Notamacropus eugenii: one gene and its partners. The protein of the gene in region 1 purifies or fractionates together with the protein of each later gene. This does not show direct contact. Links are inferred from orthologs where the notes say so. Each region holds a gene or a part of one and is shown on either strand. Other genes may lie near its edges.

What was found. The genes of interacting proteins can lie anywhere in the genome.
Region 2: the proteins of MIA2 (region 1) and MIA3 purify together in Homo sapiens (affinity purification with western blotting; 6 studies listed by BioGRID and IntAct, counting the BioPlex papers as one, with this or other methods). This does not show direct contact. The link is inferred for Notamacropus eugenii from reciprocal best matches to the Homo sapiens genes MIA2 and MIA3.
Region 3: the proteins of MIA2 (region 1) and PREB purify together in Homo sapiens (affinity purification with western blotting; 3 studies listed by BioGRID and IntAct, with this or other methods). This does not show direct contact. The link is inferred for Notamacropus eugenii from reciprocal best matches to the Homo sapiens genes MIA2 and PREB.

The regions. Positions count from the first base shown.
Region 1 is NC_092872.1:331,985,091-331,992,138, forward strand, and holds the start of MIA2 (melanoma inhibitory activity protein 2), read left to right. Parts: upstream 1-4,028; 5' UTR 4,029-4,212; coding exon 4,213-4,327; intron 4,328-7,048. UniProt on the Homo sapiens protein: Plays a role in the transport of cargos that are too large to fit into COPII-coated vesicles and require specific mechanisms to be incorporated into membrane-bound carriers and exported from the endoplasmic reticulum.
Region 2 is NC_092873.1:414,066,322-414,073,544, reverse strand, and holds the start of MIA3 (transport and Golgi organization protein 1 homolog), read left to right. Parts: upstream 1-4,220; 5' UTR 4,221-4,243; coding exon 4,244-4,649; intron 4,650-7,223.
Region 3 is NC_092872.1:528,417,218-528,424,478, reverse strand, and holds the start of PREB (guanine nucleotide-exchange factor SEC12), read left to right. Parts: upstream 1-4,258; 5' UTR 4,259-5,754; coding exon 5,755-5,889; intron 5,890-6,573; coding exon 6,574-6,766; intron 6,767-6,988; coding exon 6,989-7,215; intron 7,216-7,261. Other genes in the region: PRR30 (proline-rich protein 30), read left to right, coding at 97-213, 436-490, 648-705, 876-2,355.

The sequences.
Region 1 (7,048 bases):
GAAGGGACTTTTGTATTTCCTCTTATATTCATAGTTCCCATATCAATTAGTAGGGAGAAAGAGGAGGGAGGTAAGGAAACGAATATGAACCTGTGATTAATGTTGACAGTGCTGGATGGCAAGATTGCTGAGGTATATGGCTGGAAACATGGTCTGGGACCAGGAGGTCTACTGATTTACCAACTAGGACAGCTAAACTCCAGTGAAAGAACCTCAAAACTGAGAGATTAAGTACCTAAGGTCATACAGAACAATACAAAAAGTTAAGTGCTACTTAGCACAGTGCCTAGCACATAGTAAGTGCTGATTTGTCCTTTCTTCCTTGATGTTCTCTTTTTTTCTAGGTTTCCAGGACACTGCTCTCTCCTGGTTTTTCTCCTTCCTATTTGACCTCTTCTCAGTCTCCTTTGTTGGATCCTCTTCCAGACCACACACCATCCAGAACACAACCCTGTTCCTTAGGGCCTGCCCTGTGCCCTCTTCTTTTCTCTCCCTACACTACTTCACTTGGTGATCTCACCAATGATCATAGATTTAATTACCATCTCTGTGCTAATTATTCTCAGATCTACCTTTCCTGCCCCAACACCTCTGCTGACCTTCAATCTCACATCTCAATTTCTTTCAGACATCTCAAACTGGATGTTCAGTAGACATATTAAACTAACTATGCCCCAAACAGAACTAATTCTCTTTACCCCTAAATACTCCACTTGTTACCCTGTAGAGGGTAACAGCATCTTCCCAGTCCCTTGGGCTCCCAACCTATCCTCAACCCCCATATCTAAGATTCTGCCAAGGCCTACCTATTTCACCTCTGTAACATCTCTCCTATATGCCCCCTTCTCTCCTCTGAAACTTCCACCATTCTAGTGCAAGCCCTCATTACCTCATGCTTAGACTATTTTTACCTTTTTGATATTTGTTAATATTCCTTTATTACACTTAAAAATCATATGGCTAGTCCTGGTACTGTCCTCCTTAAGTTCTGGTTTGTATATTTATTTTAGATATTTATTGCATATCTCTCCCATTCCCCTGTCTTCCCCCAAGGAACAATAAAAATAAGAAGTGATGAAGAGGCAGACTTCAGAAATAAAACCCTCATATAAATATGCATGGTCCAGCAAAACAAATTCCCACACTGGTCATGTTTAAAAAGTGTGTATTTCATTCCACATTTTATGTCCATTACTTCTCTGGTAGGAGTGTGCTTCATCTGTAATTCTCTGGCATGTTGGTTTATCATTGCAATGATCAGAATTCTAAAGTCATTTAATGTTGTTTTTTTTATAATGTCATTATTATGTAAACTGTCCTAGTTCTGTTCACTTTACATCTGTTCATAGTGGTCTTCTGTTTTCCTCTAAAACTGTACATTTTGTCACTTGGAATAATACAATAACATTCCATTAAATTCACATACCATAATTTATTTATCCATTCCGTAATGGTAGACCTCAATGTCCAGTTTAGGGAAGCTATAAAAAGAGCCAAAATAAATATTTTTTTGTTAATAAATATTTCATGTTAGATATTGGGACAAAATGAGACACTCACAATCACTGAATAGCTAACCAAAGAAGGTTTACTTTGCTCTAACAACAAGGATATGTAACCAGGATGCAGTAACACTTTGCAATAATGCCCAGGTTCTAGGTTTATTAGCTTTTGCATACTTGCATTTTAGGGGTATTTGGTCATACTAGCCAAACTGGTTTCACTTGTCAACAATTTGTAAAGTGCTTTGCAAATCTTAAAGTGTTGCATAAATATTAACCATTATTATTATTATCAATATTATCTAAAATTCCAAGTGGAAAATAAGTTATTCCAGACTAGTTCCTACTTAGAACCTGTTGGTTTCACTGTGAAACACGATTTAGCCTTTCTTTTCCCACAGGGATATCTTTAAGTAGTCCACACTGCTATTCCATGGAAAACTGGAGTTTTCCCCAGAGACACATGAGTTTTAAACCACACACTAGGCCTGAAATGACTTGAATAATCTTTCTCTATCATTTAGACACTTAAAGTGATTAATAACCAAAACCATAGGATTGTCTTTCAATCAACCAGGTCAAGATTAAATCCTGGGAATCTGGAGAGGGTTTTAATCCCTTGACTTATTTTCTTTTCCTGTATATGCCACACTAGACACTGGCTTCCTCCATTTCCCTCTCCTTCCCTCTCCTTCCCCCTGTTATGTGTCACAAAATGGCTATGATTGATAATAGTTTTATGTAAAGGACAAGATGTCTTCAAAGATTCTAATTAAATCAGGAGTTATATTTACACTTAAAGAACCATCAACCAATAAACATTTATTTAGCATCTACTGTGTGCCAGGTAGTGGGTTAAGCACTTCACAAATATTACCTCACCAAATATTCACCAAATATTACCTGGGAAGTAGGTGCTATCATTATCCTCATTTCACAGTCAAGAAAATCAAATTATGTGACTTGCTCAGGGTCACACAGCTAAGAAGTGTCTGAGACTATTTGAACTCAGGTCTGTTCTCACTCTAGGCCCAGCTCTCTATCCACTCTACTGCTTAGTTTCCTGGTATGTAATAGTAAAAATAATGAAAAGGCTAGCATTTATATAGAGTTCTAAGGTTTGCAAAGTGCCTTAATGATACCATTTGTTTGATCTTTCCAGAACTGTGAGGTAGGTGCTATTTTTATCCCCTTTTACAGATGGAGAAACTGGGGCTCAGAGAGGTTTAATGACTTGCCCAGTGTCGTTCAGCTAGTATCCGAGGCTGAATTTGAGATCAAGTCTTCCTAACTCCAAGTCCAGGGATCCAAATCCACTCTGTAAGTTAGCTACCAACAGTTGTTTCCTCAGGAGCTGCTACTAATGTCAAACCCACAGTGCAAAGAGTCTAATTTCCCTCTTTCATTTCCATGCCACTCTTCTTTCTGTTGCAAATCAGTCAAAAAGCCCCTGAAATGGCAGCCCTGCTAGCCCCAGCTCAGAGCCTGTAATGGTCTTTCCCAAGTTTGGAAAATAGAATTTTTTCTTTCCAGGACTACAGTTCTGAGAATTCACAATCAAGCTGTTTACCTTTTCATTGTGGGGAGAAACGCAGGTTGCCTGTTTAAGACATAGGTCCTTTTTTGTTTACTGCATATCCTGAAAAGCTTCTGACTTAACCTACAGGCTCCTTGCTTAGCAAGGGTGGAAGGACTTGTAGATGGTGTTTGGGGTTATTTATTTCTCTTTGTCAGGAATTGGTCCTTTGATGGCACTGGAGATTGTATATGTAATAAGATAACTTTGGCATGAAAACTTTTTAACCCCAAACAAAACTTATCTAACTTTTGTAATTCTGTATTTGTCATTTTTGTGGTGGTGTTTTGTTCTGCTTTAGACACTAGAGGGAACTGTGACTTTATGAGATTCTTCTCTCAGACACTAATGGAGATATCCCACAAACTGATTTCGTATGTTAGAACCTAAGCAAATGTATTGAAATCTTGCAAGAAAAGAGATCCTTTTAAAACATTTCCCAGATATTGAAACATGACACTTTACTTCTATTTAGTCCCACAGATTGAATGTTTTTCAAACTTTTTACTTGCCATGTTTTAGCTACTATTGTATGAAATTAAAGTCTGAGTGGTTTTTTTGTTTAGATTAAGTAGGAATAAATATACCTTCCAATATAATTTAAAAATTACTTCTTATAATTATATTTTTAACAGCTTTCCCCATGATAGTCAGAAAAATGGATCATTTTCTTTAGACAAGTTATTACTGACTCTATACATCCAGCCTACAACTGAAAGCAGCATTATACACATGTAAGTAATCAATTAATATTCATTGATTGACTTTTCTGAAGACTAACAGGAAGAGGTTGTGTTGCTATGCATTCCAAGAAATCCATGCTGAAAGCAGTGTAACTTTAAATGAGGTAGATTTATATGGGCTGCCTTTATAAAAATATTAGTCAAAGTAAACAAATCTGTTAATAATTAAATACTAGTGTGTTATATAAATAGCTGTCAATGCAGATTGAGAAAGAGAGCATTTATCCAGTAAGCTCAACTGGCAAACAGAAAGGAAATATATCTGCCAAAGGCTTTTAAAACCTTTTTGTTATAGCAAGTGAAAAAAATGCCTCTCTTGTTTAGGAGGCAGTATTCTCGTGTGAATGGTACATTTTGACTGTTTTTTGAATTCCTACTTTCTGTTTTTGTCATGGGACAGTTTGGAGTCTACAGAATTTTTCTTCTAGTAATTTCCTTGATAAAGAGCTCGGAGAGTACAAAACTGCTGGCAGAGTTTAAAAACTGCGGAGATGTGGAATGTGAAAGTAAGTATATGGAAAATAGCAACGTAAGTACATCGCATAAATATTAAAATGGAAATATTTGGTATAAATATTGGTATACCATTGGGAAAAAAATGAAGTTGTAAAGATTAGCTTTGTAGATTGCCTGTGAAAAATATTAGAAAAGAAGTGTTCTGTGGCATTACCTCACAGAAATGGTCAAAGGGTCAAAGTTTGGTATAAATTCAGATGACACAGAGGTCTTACCAGTTATCACAATCAAATTTGTTAGCATTTTAAAATGTACTTGTTTATTTACCATTTTATTTTCCCACTTATTCATTTTGTTTACTGGAGTACATAAAGACATTCTTGCTGATTTATATAACAAAAATTTTATTTTAATTTTTCAACTATGTTCTGAGTATCATTATTTCTCCAACAATTTAAAAAATATATTTAAGCCACCATGACTTATACTGGTGTGTGTGTGTGTGTGTGTGTGTGTGTGTGTGTGTGTGTGTATGTACAAATTTTAGCATCCCAGACCCTCAGGGATTCATGATTAATTTTTCATGTATTCCTTATGCAAACCTTTAGCCAATATCAAAGACTTCTCTCATGATTTTGTTTATGTATATGAGCAATGCAAGTTAGATTTTCTTTTTAAATCTACTACACAAAATATTTTGGTTATTGCATCTACTTTTAAGCTGACAGTATCATGCCCTACAATTTGCAAAATACTCTATTTACATTTATTGTTCCATGCTCACAGCTCTTTGAGGTGTAATAGTTGTTACTTTCCCCATTTTACAGACCTGGGACCTAATATTCTGAGTGATGAAATAAACTGCCCATGATCAACATAATCTGAAGTGTTCTCTTGAACCCAGGTCTCCTAATATTATGTGGTATAATTGTAGCCTAATAGATTAGAATGGCTTCAAATAAGTAATTATCGTCTGTCTTTTATGTAACCTTTATTTCTAAACTTTTGAAAAAGTACTTTTCTGAATCCTTTTTCTGAAAAGTAAACTAAAGTGAGGAACAAGATTTATCAGTCAACTGCTCATTTGTAATTAATTTCCTGTCTCAAATCTCTATTTTTCTCACATTTTCATATCTATAGAGTCATAGTTCAGACCAGTGATAGATATCAAATTCAAATATAAACAGGACCACTAAATTATATGTAAGAATCCTCTGGCTGCATATCGACCACATGTTAATTCTATTGAATTTTTCCCACTTATTCATTCTATCAAATTTTTCTTTATTTTCTTAAGTATTTCCCAATTCCATTTTAATCTAGTTTGGGCCAAATTTGGGAGTAGCCCACGGGCCTTGTGTTTGAAACCTCTGATTTTGATCAACAATAAAGAAGACATTCCAATTTGTGTAACTTTATGTGATATTTAAATTTAATTAGTGGTCTTATTAAATCAGTTTTTCACTGAGGAACATCACTACTCTAAGTATGAAATTATTTTAATGATTACAATATATACACATACCATACATTATGTTTGTATTAAAGGAATTAATCTTAGGCATTTGGTAAATTACTCATTCAACAGATTTTATTTTAAGTTCTCTTGTGAGCTGAGGGGAATAGGAAAGAAATGTAAAACACATTTCTTGCCTTCAACTTACTTATATAGATTAGAGAGCAAGACCTAACACCTATTAAATAATTGATACTACAATATGAGTAATGAAACATTAAGATCATAAATATAGAGAACAATTGATTTGTAGTAGAGTAGCTGAGCAAGGACTTAGCTGAACCCCAAAGGACTTTTAGTAGGATTTGTCAGAATTATTGGAAACCCCTTGAAATTTATCTAGTCAAACTCCTTCATTTTAAGAGTGAGGAAATTTCCCACAAAAGGAGAAATTTGCTCAACTTCATACAGCTAGATTTTCTAAATGGGTTCTTCTGACTCTAAATCTTTCCATATCATGATGGATGTTCAGATTTTGAGCCAGAAGGGACCATACAGATCAGTCCAATCCTCTCATTTTATAGATATGGAACTTGAGATGCAAATGGGATTAAGTGACTTGCTGAAGGCCAAAAATTTAGTAGAGATTGTATTTTAACTCCAGCTGTTTAAATCCAAATCCAGAACTTTTTCCATTATACAAACACTACTTAATTTTATTATTCTGAATTTACCAAACACCAAAAAGAACCCCAACACCTTACACATAGAAAGTAAAATGCAAAAATTAATTATAACTGAAATTATGTAACAAATTTTATACAGAATATTTTTTAAAAAGTTATATGATAAATTCAGCATGTTTCTTTCAAAGCTGTTTTGTCTATTTCCCTCTAAACTTTTTTATATTTCTGTCTGAGCATTTTTTAAGATGGTTCAATGACCTCTTTTGTTTCTTCTCTTTCTTTTTTTGCAACTCCTGTCTCCTTTCCCTACAAATAAAAATTGGAAAAACATAATCTTTGTAAAAACTAAGCACCATCAAGCAAAATAAATCATTAAAATCACCATATCCACATCCTTATCCTATACCTTGGGTCTACCAACCAATCTTCTATCAGGAGATGAAAAACAGTTTTTATCATCTAACTTTTGAAGTCTTGGCACAGGCAGGGAGAATATCGCAGTTACACGAACTAGTAATGCACATGGTGTGTTCAGAGGACATTAAAAAGATTATTGGATAGACATGAGAGGAAAAAGTTGGATATGCAGTAGGGAACCATTGGAGATTTTTAAATAGGGGAATTGTTTG
Region 2 (7,223 bases), on another chromosome or scaffold:
TTTTCCTAATATTGAACCAACCCTGCATTCTTGGTATGAATCCTACCTGATTATAATGTATTATTCTTGTGATAAGTTGCTGTATTCTTTTTTGCTAAAATCTTATTTAAACTTTTTGCATCAATATTCATTAGAGAAATTGGTCTATAATTTTCTTTCTCTGTTTTGTCTCTTCCTGGTTTAGGTATCAAAACCATATTTGTATCATAAAAAGAATTTGGGAGGACTCCTTCCCCAATTTTCAAAAATAGTCTATATAATATTGGAATTAACTGTTCTTTAAATGTTTGATAGAATTCACTTGTAAATCCATGTGGCCCTGGAGATTTTTTCCTAGGGAGTTCATTGACGGCTTGTTCAATTTCTTTTTCTGAGATGCGGTTGTTTAAGTATTCAACTTCCTCTTCTGTTAATCTGGGCAATTTATATTTTTTAAAATACTCATCCTTCTCATTTAGATTGTCTCCCTATTTATCTTTTAATTAAAATTATTTCCTCAATCATGAAATAGCATTCAAGATGAATTTTTTAAAAGGATCTTATTCAGTGTCATTATTTTTTGTTTTGTTTCGTTAGCAGCACTACAACATCATAACCTTATGGTTAAGACAAAACTCTTTCCTTATCCCTCACCTGTACCTAAATCCTTCCTTTTCTACTTCCATAATATCTTTCTAGACTTTGTTTTTAACTCCTTCAATAACCACTCTAGTTCAAGTCCTCTACTTTTGTCCTCTACATTATCGTAACAGGCTCTTAACTGGCATTCTTGCCCCTCTTCCCATCTTTTTCTCTATCTAACCTCTACAGCAATATTCATGGGATGATCCTAATGCATTGCTGTGATCATGGTATGTTTATACAAAAAGATCTTGTTAGGACTTTATTTCTTAGACTTCCTATTGCCTAAAAAATAAAGTATAGTCTGACTCTAGCAAAGCATCATAGAGTGAAACAGATAAATAAAACTAACTTGTAGAATGAGTAAATATATAGATGCTTACAAGCTACTTATATCATAAGAAAAGTTGATTTCTTTAAGGTTTTCTTTTAATTGTAGTTAGTTTTAACTAGTTAAAGTTTAAATAATTTAACTATCTAAATCATAAATCAAGATAGATCAATAGACTAGCACTTCTGTTTGATAATTATTTATTGACTGATCTAGAGCTGGAAAGGTGCATCACAATCTGGCTTCAACCCATCTATGCAGCCTTATTTCACACTACTACCTATAAGTAGTTTTCATGCAGTCTTCATGAAGAATACTGGACTGCTCTTTATTCTCCACTATCATTCTGTCCCTTATATCTCCATGCCTTGAAGATGTTGTCCCCCATGGCTGGAATGGATTCCCTGTCAAGCTTTCTTCATTTGTTGAAGTACTGCCCTTTCTTCAAGGTCCAATTCAGATGCTACCTTCTCCATAAGGCCTCTGACACCTCAGGTGAAAGGGATCTCTTCTGTCTCAAAATTCTCATAACACTTGGACTGGACCTTTCCTTTTGTACTTTGGGATCACAGCTCACAGATCTAGAAAGGATCTCAGATGTTATTTTTAGTTCAATCCCTTCATTTTAGATATGAGAAAACTGAAGCTGAGTGAGACTTTAGGTATTTGCCTTAGGGCACATAAGTAGTATAAGAGGTGAGATTTAAACCCTGTCCCTCTCACTCCAGGATTAATGCTCTTTCCACTATAGATACTTCCTCATTTCAGTCTTCCTTGTATTGTAATTATTTGGTTTTGGTCCTTTCCCTTATTAGATTTGTAAACTTCCTCAGACTAGGGCCTGTGGCCCATCTCTCTGTATCTTCAGTGTCTGCTACAGTGTTTTGCACATAAATGAATATTTAGACTGAATTATTTTCTACTATTTTCATTGTATGTGTACAGAGTTTCACTAATCCCCTCAAAAAAGCTACAATATGAGCTAAATAGACTTTTCTAGGCTATTCTAAGCACCATTTGTTTATAGGGAAAAATTAATTACAAGTTCTAATGAAATGACTTACATAATTTAGGGGTACAGATTATAAACTAGAGACTTCCTCTATCTAAAAGTTAAAGTTGCATTTCTGAAGATTTGCCAGACTTCCACCCTAAGTCAACAGTACACGTGTTCTTGGAACTACAGTGTCATAGGTTCTTGTTGAATATGTAAATACACAGTCGGTAACAAGCTATTTATTTGTATAAGCATAAAAAAAGAACATTACAGTACTGATTTCTTTAAGTTTCTTTTAGTTTTGTTTCAAAATGACCAATTCTGATGGCACATTTTACTAATATTATCCCCCCTCAAGATTCAGCATCATTAGAGCTAGTTATGGAAAACGTATCTAAGGGTGTAGGATTCACAGCTGGGAAGGGGCCTTAGAGATGACAAGGTCATCATAAAGTCACTTAACTCAATTCCCTCATTTTACAGATGAGGAAACTGAGATCGACTCAAAGTTTAAGTGACCTGCTCAAAGTTAAGACAATGCAAACCCAGGTTCTAGGTCTAAATGCAGACACATCACAGATGCCTCCTTTCTAGCATACATACATATCACATGTTATATGTGTATATATGTATATGTACATATAGACAGTATAATATATGTGTATAAATATGTATGTGTACATACACATACATGTATTTATATACACATACACACACCTTCCAAGTATAATGGAACTCTTCCTCTAGGGTCACTATCCATATGAGTATTATAATTTACTGCATAATCATGGTACCTTCTTTTTTTTCAGTTCAAAAATTGGTTTATAACCTTTCATCACTTAATGGTGAAATGGTGTAATGTTAATGAGATTTATGTTAAAGATCTTCCCCACTCATTAATAGGCCTCACCTGTAGCCTATTAAGGGAAGCTTGATTAGAGGAGGCTTGTTTTGTAGGAATGCCCACACTTTTTGTTAATTAATGAGGCACTGGATCACAAGGGCTGTGCCCTCTGCTCTGAAAAGTGTATATATACTCTGAGGTGAGGTTTTGCTTTGGGGGCTTAGAAGAAGGTTCATGTGCCAGATGAGACTCTGGGTAGCCCTGCCCCCACTCTTTTGAAAAAACAGATGTTGGTGCTTCTCTCTCTAGTAACTATGTATGCATGGTTAGACAGATCTGTCTGTTGATCTCTGATGTATGTATTGCTTATGGTCAGACAGTTAGAAGCCCCCGTCTGTTGGTCTTTATTTCTCTGCTTGTATTTTCTGTATTGGTGAATGTCATTAGATTGTTGACCCCTTGAAAGCTGCTTTCTTTTAGAAAAGCAGATCTAAGAACCTGCACAGCAGGCCCTCCTGTGTATGCTGGGGTGCTTGCTGCTACACATTGTATAATTCTGTTCTTCATTTACTTAAAAGGTAAACAGTAACAATATATCCACCAGTGGCATATAGATAGACATTTATCTCTCCTGCTGTGTGAGCCCTAGAATTCTCAGCACTCCTGTCAGTATTCAATTTTAATATAAATTCATGAGTATTCCATGCATCCTAATCTTGCACCAAAGACAGTGTAGTAATAAATGATTTTTTAAGAAATATCAGCACAAAAAAAAAAAAAACTTCATGTAATGGTTGTGCCCCACATTTTTGCAAAAAAAAAAAAAAATTGGCATAAAACCTGCAACCATTATGCAGTGAAATACGGTACTGTACATATACTATATTAACTCCACTACAAAATTACAGTAGATTAAGGCAAATTTAAATCAGAGATATCCATCTAATTTAGAGGTATTTGTGAGATTACTCAAAATTCTCTCATGACTCTAGACTTCTCTTGCTTTTAAAACTCCCCTTTTAGCAGGGAGGGTGCTCCATCCCCGGTCCCTTCTCGTTAGCCTGGCCCATCCCAGACCGTCCCAAACCCCTCTTCCCTTTGGTTATCCCATGTGACAAGACAGGATGCCCTGGGGGTGGGGGATTCAAAGTGAAAAGCGAGGAATTGCGGAGTTGTTTCCACGTCAAGAATAACAGCGGTCAGGACAAGGGGATGGCAGGAGGGAGGCCAAGATGGGTAATGGACCCGCGGAGGAGAGCAGGGGCGATCTGTGGCCGAGGGGTGCGGGATGCCGGCGGGCCCAGGGCCGCGGAGCAGAGGCGATCTGTGGCCGAGGGGTGCGGGATGCCGGCGGCAGCACGAACGGATAGGACGAGGGAGAGGTGACGGAACAAAGGCCGGGTGACGGGGTCTCCCCGGCATGTCCCCGCCCCTCTCGTAGGCCGCAGAGATGCAGCCCTCTCTCCGGTTCCTCCTCTCCTCTTCCCCCAGCCCTCCCTTCCCATCCTTCTCCATCCCCGGTGCGGCTGACGTGTCTGCCTGGCACTGCTCATGCTCTCCCTCCGCCCCAAACGCGGGTCCCAGCCTCGCCGCTCGCCCCCGCCTTCTCTTCTCTCCTCCCCGCCGCCCCGCCGCCTCGCCATCGCCGTCCCCCGCGCCCGGGGCCTCCCTCCGCCCCCCTCACCTCTCCAGTCCCAGTCCCAGTCCCAGACCCGCCAACATGGCTGCAGCGCCGCGCCTGCCCTTCTGTCTCCTGCTTCTCCTCTTTTCCTCCGGGCCGCGGCTGGGTCAGGCGAACCGAAGCGAGGACCGGCGTTTCGCGGAGCTGAAACGCTGCTCGGACGAGGAGTGCAGCAGTGAGTGGGCGCCGGGGCCCGCCGGGATGGGGGGAGGAGGAGAATTGGGCGGACACGCGGGGCTGCGGGGCTGGGGGGAGGACGAGCTGCCTGCTCCGGGGTCTGTGCCCGCGGGCTCTGGACAGCGGAGGCCAAGCTGGCGCTTGTAGGGGGCAGAAGAAAGTGCGCCCTTCCCCTCCCCCGGTCTTTCTGTTCTTGGGTCTGGGCGTCTCCGCAGCTCCGCCTCAGCCTGCCACCGCGGCACCCCAGCTCTCCGGCTTCTGCCACTTGTTGCAAGTTTTTGGCCCCCGAATCGAGAGAGGGGAGAGCAGAGATGGCCCCTCACCTTCGCTCCAACTGCTGGCATGGCCTCGGATCACCCCCTTCCAGCCTCCCCTCCCTTCGCCAAAGATGAAGAAACCTAACATCCAAGTCCTCTTTGGGTTTTGTCGGTGTTCAAAGCTCAGTGTTTATTCTTTAGCCGGGGAGAAAGTGCCTTCAGCCCTTCCACGGTTACAAAATCTCTCCTTTGCTCCATTTGTGGAACCAGATGGGTTGCTAGGTTTAAGGCAGTCTCGTGGGCTGCTTTTTCCGCCCTCTCCGAGTCTTACTGGAATTGTTTGCTAGTTGTATTTTGAAAAGTGTTTTGGGTTTCCGAAAGGGCTAATCCCAAATTACCTACACGTGCCAACACGTTACATTGTTGTTACCATCGGACATCCTTGAGCTCTGAATCTTGTCCTTGTGTGAAAAATCTTGTCTATCCAACAAGACGCAGGCAAGGTCCTATCTTTCACTCTGGAGACCAACTCTTGGCATAGCCCATTTAATAGGCAAGGAAGCTGAAGCAGTTAGTTAAAACTGGGTTTCTGATTTATTTAAGTCGTTTTGCCAGTTCTGAGGGAGGAGGTAGTCATGAGTAATTTTGAATAGTTAAAAAACAAAGAATCCATCAGTATTACAACCTGAAGTAACTTTACTTTCATCTACTTTTTTGTGAAAACTCCAAAATATTCCAGTATTTCTTGCCATTTGTGTTGTTGTTAGTTGTCTTTTGTCTGACAACTCTTGTAACAAATGGATTTGTAACTGGCTGACATAAGTGCCAGAAGACAAGTGATTTGGCCCTTATAATATGCAAGGATGAATAAGAAAATATTCTGAAAAGGCTAAGAAATCCATCATCCACTCTTCATATACAGGTACCTTTAAAAAAAAAAAAGTCCCATAACTTGAAATACAAGAATCATTGTATCTCCGGAAGAGGAATAAGCAGAATCAACATACAATTAGTTGTATGTTGACATTGTCAACAAATTGCTAAAAGTTAACCTAGGGACCACTTGCAATACATGAAAACTTCCAGCCTTTTCTGTTCTTTCAAGTGACTTTTTTGGAACAGATCTTAAAACAAGTTATTATATATACATGTCTCATTCCAAAGTATAGTTAGAAATTAATTTATGCAGAACTTTAGTCTATGCTTAGTAAAGGAATAGAGTGTTTACCACTGCTCTTCTTCTCCTTTTCCCTTAACCACTGTGTAAACATTTCTTGGCTCTTTTATATACTAGGGAAAAAAGTGTGTGCATTTTTAATTTTAGGCTTGGGATTTTTTTTTCTTTTTGTTCAGACCTCTGTAGAATAGGAAATATTCTGCAATTTATGGTCTTAAGGTTGCTTGGGACTCTAAGACCTTAAGGGCCTAGGGTCCTACAACCACTACCCCTAGAGATGGGATTTGAATCCAGGTCTTCTGATTCAGAATATTTTTCTCGCACTATATTATGCTGCAAATATAAGCATGTTTTTAACTGTATGTGCAATCTTGTGTATGCATACTAATGTGTATATGTGTACAGTTATATATAAATATACAACATATATACATGCACAAAACATACCTATACTTGTAGCATTGTATATGTATGTGCATTTATACATGTGCACATGCATAGCACATATTCATATGTACATATATGTGGGGGGTAACTAATAAAATATCAACTCAGATCTGAGTTCCTGCCTGATTTAAATCAGTGTTAGAGCAACAAGTCCTGTGTCTAATAATCTCTGTGACCTTAGGCAAGTCACAACCTTTCTGGGTCTCAGATTACATGTGCAAAATGAGAAGGGCTATCCTGAAAGGGTCCCTTCCAGCACCAAATCTATAGAATGCTCTGATCTTGTGTCTAAATTTTTCCTTAGTGTCTGCCAACAATGATTTTTTTTCATAATGCTGTTTTGGTGTCAGCTTCTCTATCTGCTTTATGTTCTTTGTGATCCCAATTGGGGTTTTCTTGGCAAAGATACTGGAGTGGTTTGCCATTTGCTTTTCCAGCTAATTTTACAGATGAGGAAACTGAGGAAAAACAGGGTTAAGTGACTTGCCCAGAGTCACACAGCTAGTAAGTACCTGAGGCCAGATTTGAGCTCAGGTCTTCTTGATTCTAGGCCTGGTACTCTATCCACTGTGCCACCTAGCTACTCCCTATCTGCTTTATGGGAGAAAGGAATTTTCTTTCCTTGTAAATTTTGATTAAATTAACTTAGTGTTTGATATATTTAAAACTGCTTATTTCGTGTAAAACTTTT
Region 3 (7,261 bases), about 200 Mb from region 1:
ACACCTTTGTGACATCAGCATGGGCTGACTGTGACATCAGTGTGGAGTTCCAGGTTAGAGCAGCTCACCCAGCAGCAGGGGGGCTGACAGCTCCTTATGGGGGCGGCGTTGCCGCCCCTTGGAGAAAGTCTCTCTTTCTTAGATGTCTCATTCCTGCTGGGCCCCCTGCTGCTGCTGCTTGTCCTGCTTGGGCTACTGAGCCATTTTAGCTGGGTGAGGGCGGTCAGTCAGGAAAGTTAGGAACAGGAAAGCAGTTGGGGTTTGGAGAGATGACAACTGGGGATAAGGAAAATAAAGAACTGGCAGAAGGTAGAGGGCATGAACTCGGGGCGGGGGGGGGATCTTGAATGTAGATTAAACTAAGCTTTGATCTAGGGAATCATGGGCTGAGGATAGGTGGTCTACAGCTATTAACCAAGTTCTCCTCTGGCTTAGAATCCCTCACGACTGAAGAATATTGTGAATCGGACCTCAAGGAGTCCCCATCCAGGTAAGGACCGTCAGTACTAGGTCATTCTTCATTCCTTCTTTTTGGCTCTATCATACCCCAGCTCTCCAGTTGCTCCCAGATTTTCTACTCAAGCACCTTATCAGTTCATATATACCCTAACACAAAATTTCTGAACTAAGTCTGTCTGTCCTTACAGCTCCTGTAATTCCAAAGGTAGCTAGCAGGCCCAAACTCGTGGATTTGGGGACGTCTTGGTGAGCAGTGGCTAATACTCAGTTGTAGGGCTGTAGGAGGGAGGGAAATAAAACTCTAGGAAAACATGAATGAAACTGATAGTGTCAGGAGAACAACACTTGTCCTATGAAGAGGAAAAAGAAAAGTGGATATGGACATGCAGATTTGAAGACCTGTGTTTTTTTGGCAGGTCCCAACGGATGAATTGTCCTTATTGGCGGCAGTACTCTATTCAGAAAATCCCTGCTACCCCTCATACCCTAAGTGACAGCTCTGAATCTCAAGGCCCTGTACACCCTTATCAAAGACCAAAGTTAAAGAGAGAGACAGAACACCAACTTAAGCTTGGCCTCCTGGGGGGGGCGCAGCTCATGCCCCCCCAAGAACCCCGGAGCTACACGTTGGGAGCAGTCCCCCTATCTCTAGCCTGGCACCTGCTTCCATCACCAGCTCCCATTTTGCTCCAAGTCCAACCCTCCCTCCCTGCAGCACTACAGAGCCCTGAGAGCCCAGCACTACAGAGCTCTGAGACCCTACCCCTACCGAGCCCTGTGACTCCAACGCTACTTAGCCCTGAGGCCTATAATCGCCTGGAGCAAAACATTGCAGGCCATCAGCACCGGCAAGTCTACAGTCAGCCACACCAGTCTTATTCCACTGTGATCCCATCACCCTTGGTTTCTTTACATCCACCACCTCCTGAAACAAAGGAGATGGTGCCCAGGCACAACAACCAACTGGTACTACAGATCTCTCTGTCCCCAAGGTCTCAGCCTGGTATTGAGCTCCTCTTGGGCCCCACCTCCTGGCCCAGATCAGCTGCCCAACCTCAACTTTACCATAAAACCTATCCCCATACATATTGCCAGGTTCCCCTCAAACGCTGCCTACCCCAAGCACTGCCCCCTCCCTATATTCCTTCACAGCCCCCTGACTGTACTCCTTCATTAAAAGGAAGTCTATCCTCCTCTTCTGGTGGCCTCCAGGACTGCCAAAGGAGAAGGGAAAGGCTTAGGCAGGTTCATAATAGTGCGACAGCCCCCAGAATTGGGGGGGGATGCATACCATGCGGGACTGGGCTTGGGGAGCAGGGGGGCCCTGCAGCTCTGGCCCAGGACCTGGTGGCACTTCTTGGTCGCCGTCGCATTGCCAGGGATCTGCGGTTACTGCTGCTGCAGCGCCTATGGCAGGGTCATGCTGGACCCGCTCCAGCCGTGGAGTATCCTATATGTTTGGTGTGCCGCAAACCAAGAGGGTCTTCCTGTCCAGCCCCCAGCCGCTGGCCTGGACCCCAACTCCTTGCCTTCCCACAACTGCTGCCCTCCAGGCAAGGGCTGGCACTGGGGTCTGGGCCACTCCACATCGGCATCGGCTTCGGCCTGCGCCTGCAACGGGATCAGGCCCAAGCCTTGGAACTATTACCCAAGAGAGGGATCGAGGAGCTGGAGTATCTGGTCGAGGTCCAATGCCCCAAGGAAGAAAGCTTCCCAGCCCCAGAGCCTCGATTCCCACCTTGCATTCCCTGCCCAGAGTCTCTACATCTGCAGGTCCCAGACCCTGGTCCTGCTTTCCCAAAGGCCAGCCCTTTCCCTCCTGCCCATGCCCCCATATGCCCAGAGGCACACACCCACACTTCATCTCCAAGCAAGAACCTGGGCGAATCTGCCTAGGAACAGCCCGGGCCCCATTCCCTTTATTTCGGCCCAGGCCCCAAAGTACTGGGAGCCCAAGGGACACCCTGAAGGGATGGCTGGGTGGGGTCCATGTCTACTCTCCATCCAGGAATCCTGGGAGTCCTTTATGGAGTCTACTGTCCCCGGGCTAAAAATGGCCAAAGGGTGCTATAGAGTTTCCCTACAACCACCAGCACTTGGCCCTCATTCTGTAGTCCACAATAAAGAGAATGCTACAGAACAATGTGTGTATGTATGAATGTATCATTATGAGCAGTGTTGGTATAAGTACTCCCAATCCCTTCCCCCCCACGCACCTCGTGAAGTGGAATGCCCAGTCTCTCCCAATTCCCAGCACCTTATTTTCTCCAGTCAAAAGTCCCAGATACAGATGTGGAGCTGAAGCAAAGAAATACATAGTCCTCTTTCAATGACACTTATGAGAATTAGGTAAGGTAGTACGATATAGTGGAAGGAGTGTAGAGCTTGGTGTCCGAAGGCCTAAGCTCATATCTCCTACGTTCATCAGCTCTGTGACTCTGGGCAATTCAATAAACCTCTTGGCCTTGAATACCCCTATCTACCTCTTATGGTTATTATGAGGAAAGTCTCTGTAAACATCAAAAAGCTCTCTATAAATGTGAGTTCTTCCCAGTAGAAGTAATTCTATCCTCAAGTTCATGGTCCTTTCCAAAGGACACCGTATTATATATGATAAGAATATGATATAATAGAAAATAATTAGACTTGCAAGTCAGTTCTAACTGATTCTCATACAGTGGTACAGAAATTCTGGTTGCATCGGGTTCAAATCCTTCCTGCCTGTATGACCTTGAGCAATTCACTTAACTTCTCTCTGGTGCTTGGTTTCATCATCTGTAAAATGAAAAGACTGGATTAGATGACCAATGTCATAGGTCCTATGAGGTCCCTTCTAATTTTAAATCTCTGATCCTCCAACCTCATCTGTGCTGTTTACTAGCTGTGTCATCCTGAGCAAGACCCCTCAACCTGTCTGAGCACCAATGTCCTCATCTACACAATGGGGATAACAGAATCATAGATTCTCAGAATTGGAAGGGACTTAAAAGGCCAGCTAATGCAATTTGCACCCAAATCCCCTCTCTAGTATCCTTGACAAGTAACCATCAAGCCCCTGCTTGAAGAGTTCTAGTGAGAGAGAACCCAGTATCAAGGCACTTTTAGATAGTTTTAATTGTTAGGATAATTCTAAGTGTTAGAGGGTGGTAAAGAAAGTAGTGTTAGGGGGCCTGGAGTTAGGTGTGACGGTTTGCTTCAGTTTCCTCATCTGTAAAATGAAGCTGGAAAAGGAAATAGCAAAGTACTCCAGTATCTTTGCCACGAAAACCCCCAATAAGGAGTCATGAAGGGTTGAACATGACTGAAAACAGTTAATGACTGTTAGGAAGTTTTTTCAGATATCCAACCTAAATTTGCCTCTTGGTACCTTAACAAATCTAATCACTTCCCAATAACAACCCTTCAAATACTTAAAAATATCAGGTCCACATTGCCTTAAGCATCCTTAAGTCCTTCAATTTCTCCTCGTGTGGCAGGATTTGAGGTCTACTTGGTAACCTTTCTTTGGACACTCAATAGCTGATTAATATTTTTCCTAAAATGTGACTTTTGGAATTGAACGCCAACTAAATTTGACTTGTGCTTTAACCATGGCAGAATATTGTAGAATTTATTATCCCCCCATTTAATAAAACTTGTACTACTTATTTCCCAGAGTTGTGGTGAAGAAATAACTTTGTAAACCTCAAAAACATTATACATATATGTGTTCGTGTGTAGCTGTAACAGGGTCCCAAATGACTATCCCAAAATCTACCTGGCTTTGAGTTAAAAGAATAATAATGCTATAGCAATTCTCTCCTCTTCTACATTAAACTTTACTCCCCACTCTTTTCGGGCCAATCAGGATTTATCGCACGACCTCATAGAGTACACAGAGTAAAAAAGTCGCTCCACCAGCGGCAGCAGCAAGTGAATATCAAGTAACAAAACGGTATAAAATGCAACAAAATAACAAGTTATGGAAACATTGGCAACATGGTTTCTCACTCTCCAGATTTCTGGAGCTCCTGAAGGAGCTCTGCCTGAGCCACCACACAGTAGGTGCTTAAAGGCTGCTGTTAAAGGACCGATTGACATCAGAGGTCATCTTGACTTTGGGGTGAATTGGACTGAAGGGAAGCAGAGCTGCACCGAGTCCTGAAGTCCATGTGCAGGACAGAAGCCAAGGCTACCCCGGATGGACCGGATGAGGGGGCGGTGTCTAGGGCGTCTAACCAGGCTCCAAGCACCTGCTTCCTTCAGCAGCCTTCACGCCCGCTGGAACAAGCTTCTCACCTGCCTATTCCCCCAGGGAACGTCCTCCTGTGCTTGGGGGTCCACGCCCCCCCAATACCCCGACAGGTTTGTGGCTGGTTGGCTCCCCTCCTCCTAGTTTAGCCCCCCCCGTCGGGACGGTTTGGGGCTGGGGGGAAGGAGGTCCGAAGCTTCGGATGCTACCGCTTCTTAGGGCCACTGGTTAGCGAGTTTTACTGAATGAATGAACGAACTATATGGAGAGATGGATGTAAATGAGGGCCTCCCCTCTGGGTCCTCCTCCGAGCTTCTGGAAACGAGAATGACTGCACTGGAATGCCGGGTCCCCACTCGCGGCGTGACTCTACGTACGAAAAACACGTAACCTCAGTTTCCTTATCTGTAAAACGGGGGATGAGATTAAAAGACCTGTGCCGGAGGCTTGTGGGGGGAACAACAGAGACTAAGGCGTGCAAGTGCTCGGCAAACTTTAGGGATAAGTAAACGTTAGCTAAAGAGAGAGGGAAATGTCAGTATATGAAGAAAAAGTCACAATTGTTCGGCCTTCGGGGAGGGAAGGTTGAGCCATTCCATCTCAGGGAAGCACCCTACTGAGTTTTCTCGCGAGAATTCACGCCCCCAATCCCGTGCACTGAAGCTGTACCGGAACCGTACACGTCATTACTCTTCCAGGAGTGGTTGTAAAGGAGACTTCCGGTGCCTTGCACAGAAATGGCCGGACCTCGCAGGCGTACAGAGGAACCTCAGACCTCGGTGCCCTTGCTCACGTGACCTACGTCTCGGCGAAAGGTGGCCAGATTGTGCTGACGTGTACTGTCACCCTGCGCCTGCGCATGAGAGGCCATGAGATGGGCGCGCTTGCGCAGTGAGGGCGTTTGTAGCCTGGGTTCACTGGGCGGTGGGAAGAGGAAGCTGCTCTTGGGCTGGGGTCGGAGCCGAGCGTGGAGCGGAGTCCTCGGGGAGACATCCAGGGTGGGCTGAGCGAGCGAGCGAGCGAGCACCGGGCATGAGCCCGCTGTGAGCCGTGCAGGCTGGACGATGGGACGGCGCCGGGCGCCGGAGCTGTACCGGGCGCCATTCCCTCTGTACGCGCTGCGGGTCGAACCCAGCACCGGCCTCCTCATCACCGCGGGCGGGGGCGGCGCGGCCAAGACTGGCATCAAGAATGGAGTGGTGAGCCGCCGGGCCCGACCAGAAGGGGACCCCGGGGTCGATCCGCCTCACTCCCCAATCCGGGACCACCTCTCTCTCCTTCCTGTCACCGGCTACCCGGGGCCCCTCTCCTCCCTCTCACTTTCCGGTGACGTTTGCGCCCCCCTATGTTTTAGAGGCCCCTGGTGCCCCCCCACCAGTGTCTAGTATAACGTGCCACCAGAGACCCCAAAACTGATAGACTCCTCACCCTGCATTGCTGAGCTCTGTCGTTTCTCCCCTCCCTCTCATTGTCTGTTTCCTGCCCTGTGGCATTGATGTACCCCTGCCCGGACAGGGAGCTTAGCTGGGTTCAAAGCAGAATGTCTGCAGTGCCTGCTGTGGTTTTTCACTGCCATCGGTCTGTGCAAGCAAAACTAAAACTTCACCACTTCCTTCACTCCAGTAAGGGAAATGCACACGGCCAAGTTAAAGTTTCCCTTCTGAGGTTTTAAGAGATCAGAGCTTCTGGGGACTTGCAGGTTTTACCCCTGTAATCAACTGAAGCAGATAGCCTTCCTTGGAGAGGTTTGCCAGGAATTGGAATTTCCAGGGACTTTCCTTGAAAATGAATCCTGATGAGTCCTAGGAGACTTAAAACTCCTTGAGCCCTGAGGCTGTCCTGGGCACGGGCTTAGCAGACCTCACTTTGTTCTATTTCCACAGCACTTTTTGCAACTGGAACAGATTGGTGGAGCTTTGAGTGCCTCTTTGCTGCATTCCCATGACACCGAGACTAAGGCCACCATGAACCTTGCCCTTGCAGGCAATATTCTTGCTGCAGGGCAGGATGCTAGCTGTCAGCTCCTTCAATTCAGACCTCAAGAGCAGGAGACCAGTGACAAACAAGATGATGCAGGTGAGAAGCCTTATCTCAAACTGCTCCCAAGAAAGGAACTAGTGAATCCCCCTTTTGACTTTTCTCTTACCTTACCTACTTACACCCTGGACCTGATGAGGAGAAACATCTCATCTCTACAAACCTACATCACTGTCCTCCTCCTATGACATATGGTAGAATTTGCAGAGACCAGCCAAATGGAACTATTGAGAAATCTAGAACCACAATTTGTGATTGCAGGTTCCCAGGAGCAGGGCCCAAGGCAAAGGAAGGGGACAGGAGCTACCACTGAAACACAAGAAACTGGGGCATCAACTCAGCGAGAGGAGGTGGAGCTGAATGTGGAGAACTTGCAGTCTGTGCAGACAGACTTTGGCTCTGACCCACTGCAGAAGACTGTGTGTTTCAATCATGATAATACCTTGCTTGCCACTGGGGGCACTGATGGCTTTGTTCGTGTTTGGCAGGTGCGGGTTTCTGGGGATAGGCAGGTGTGGGATTGGGGTGAGGCCT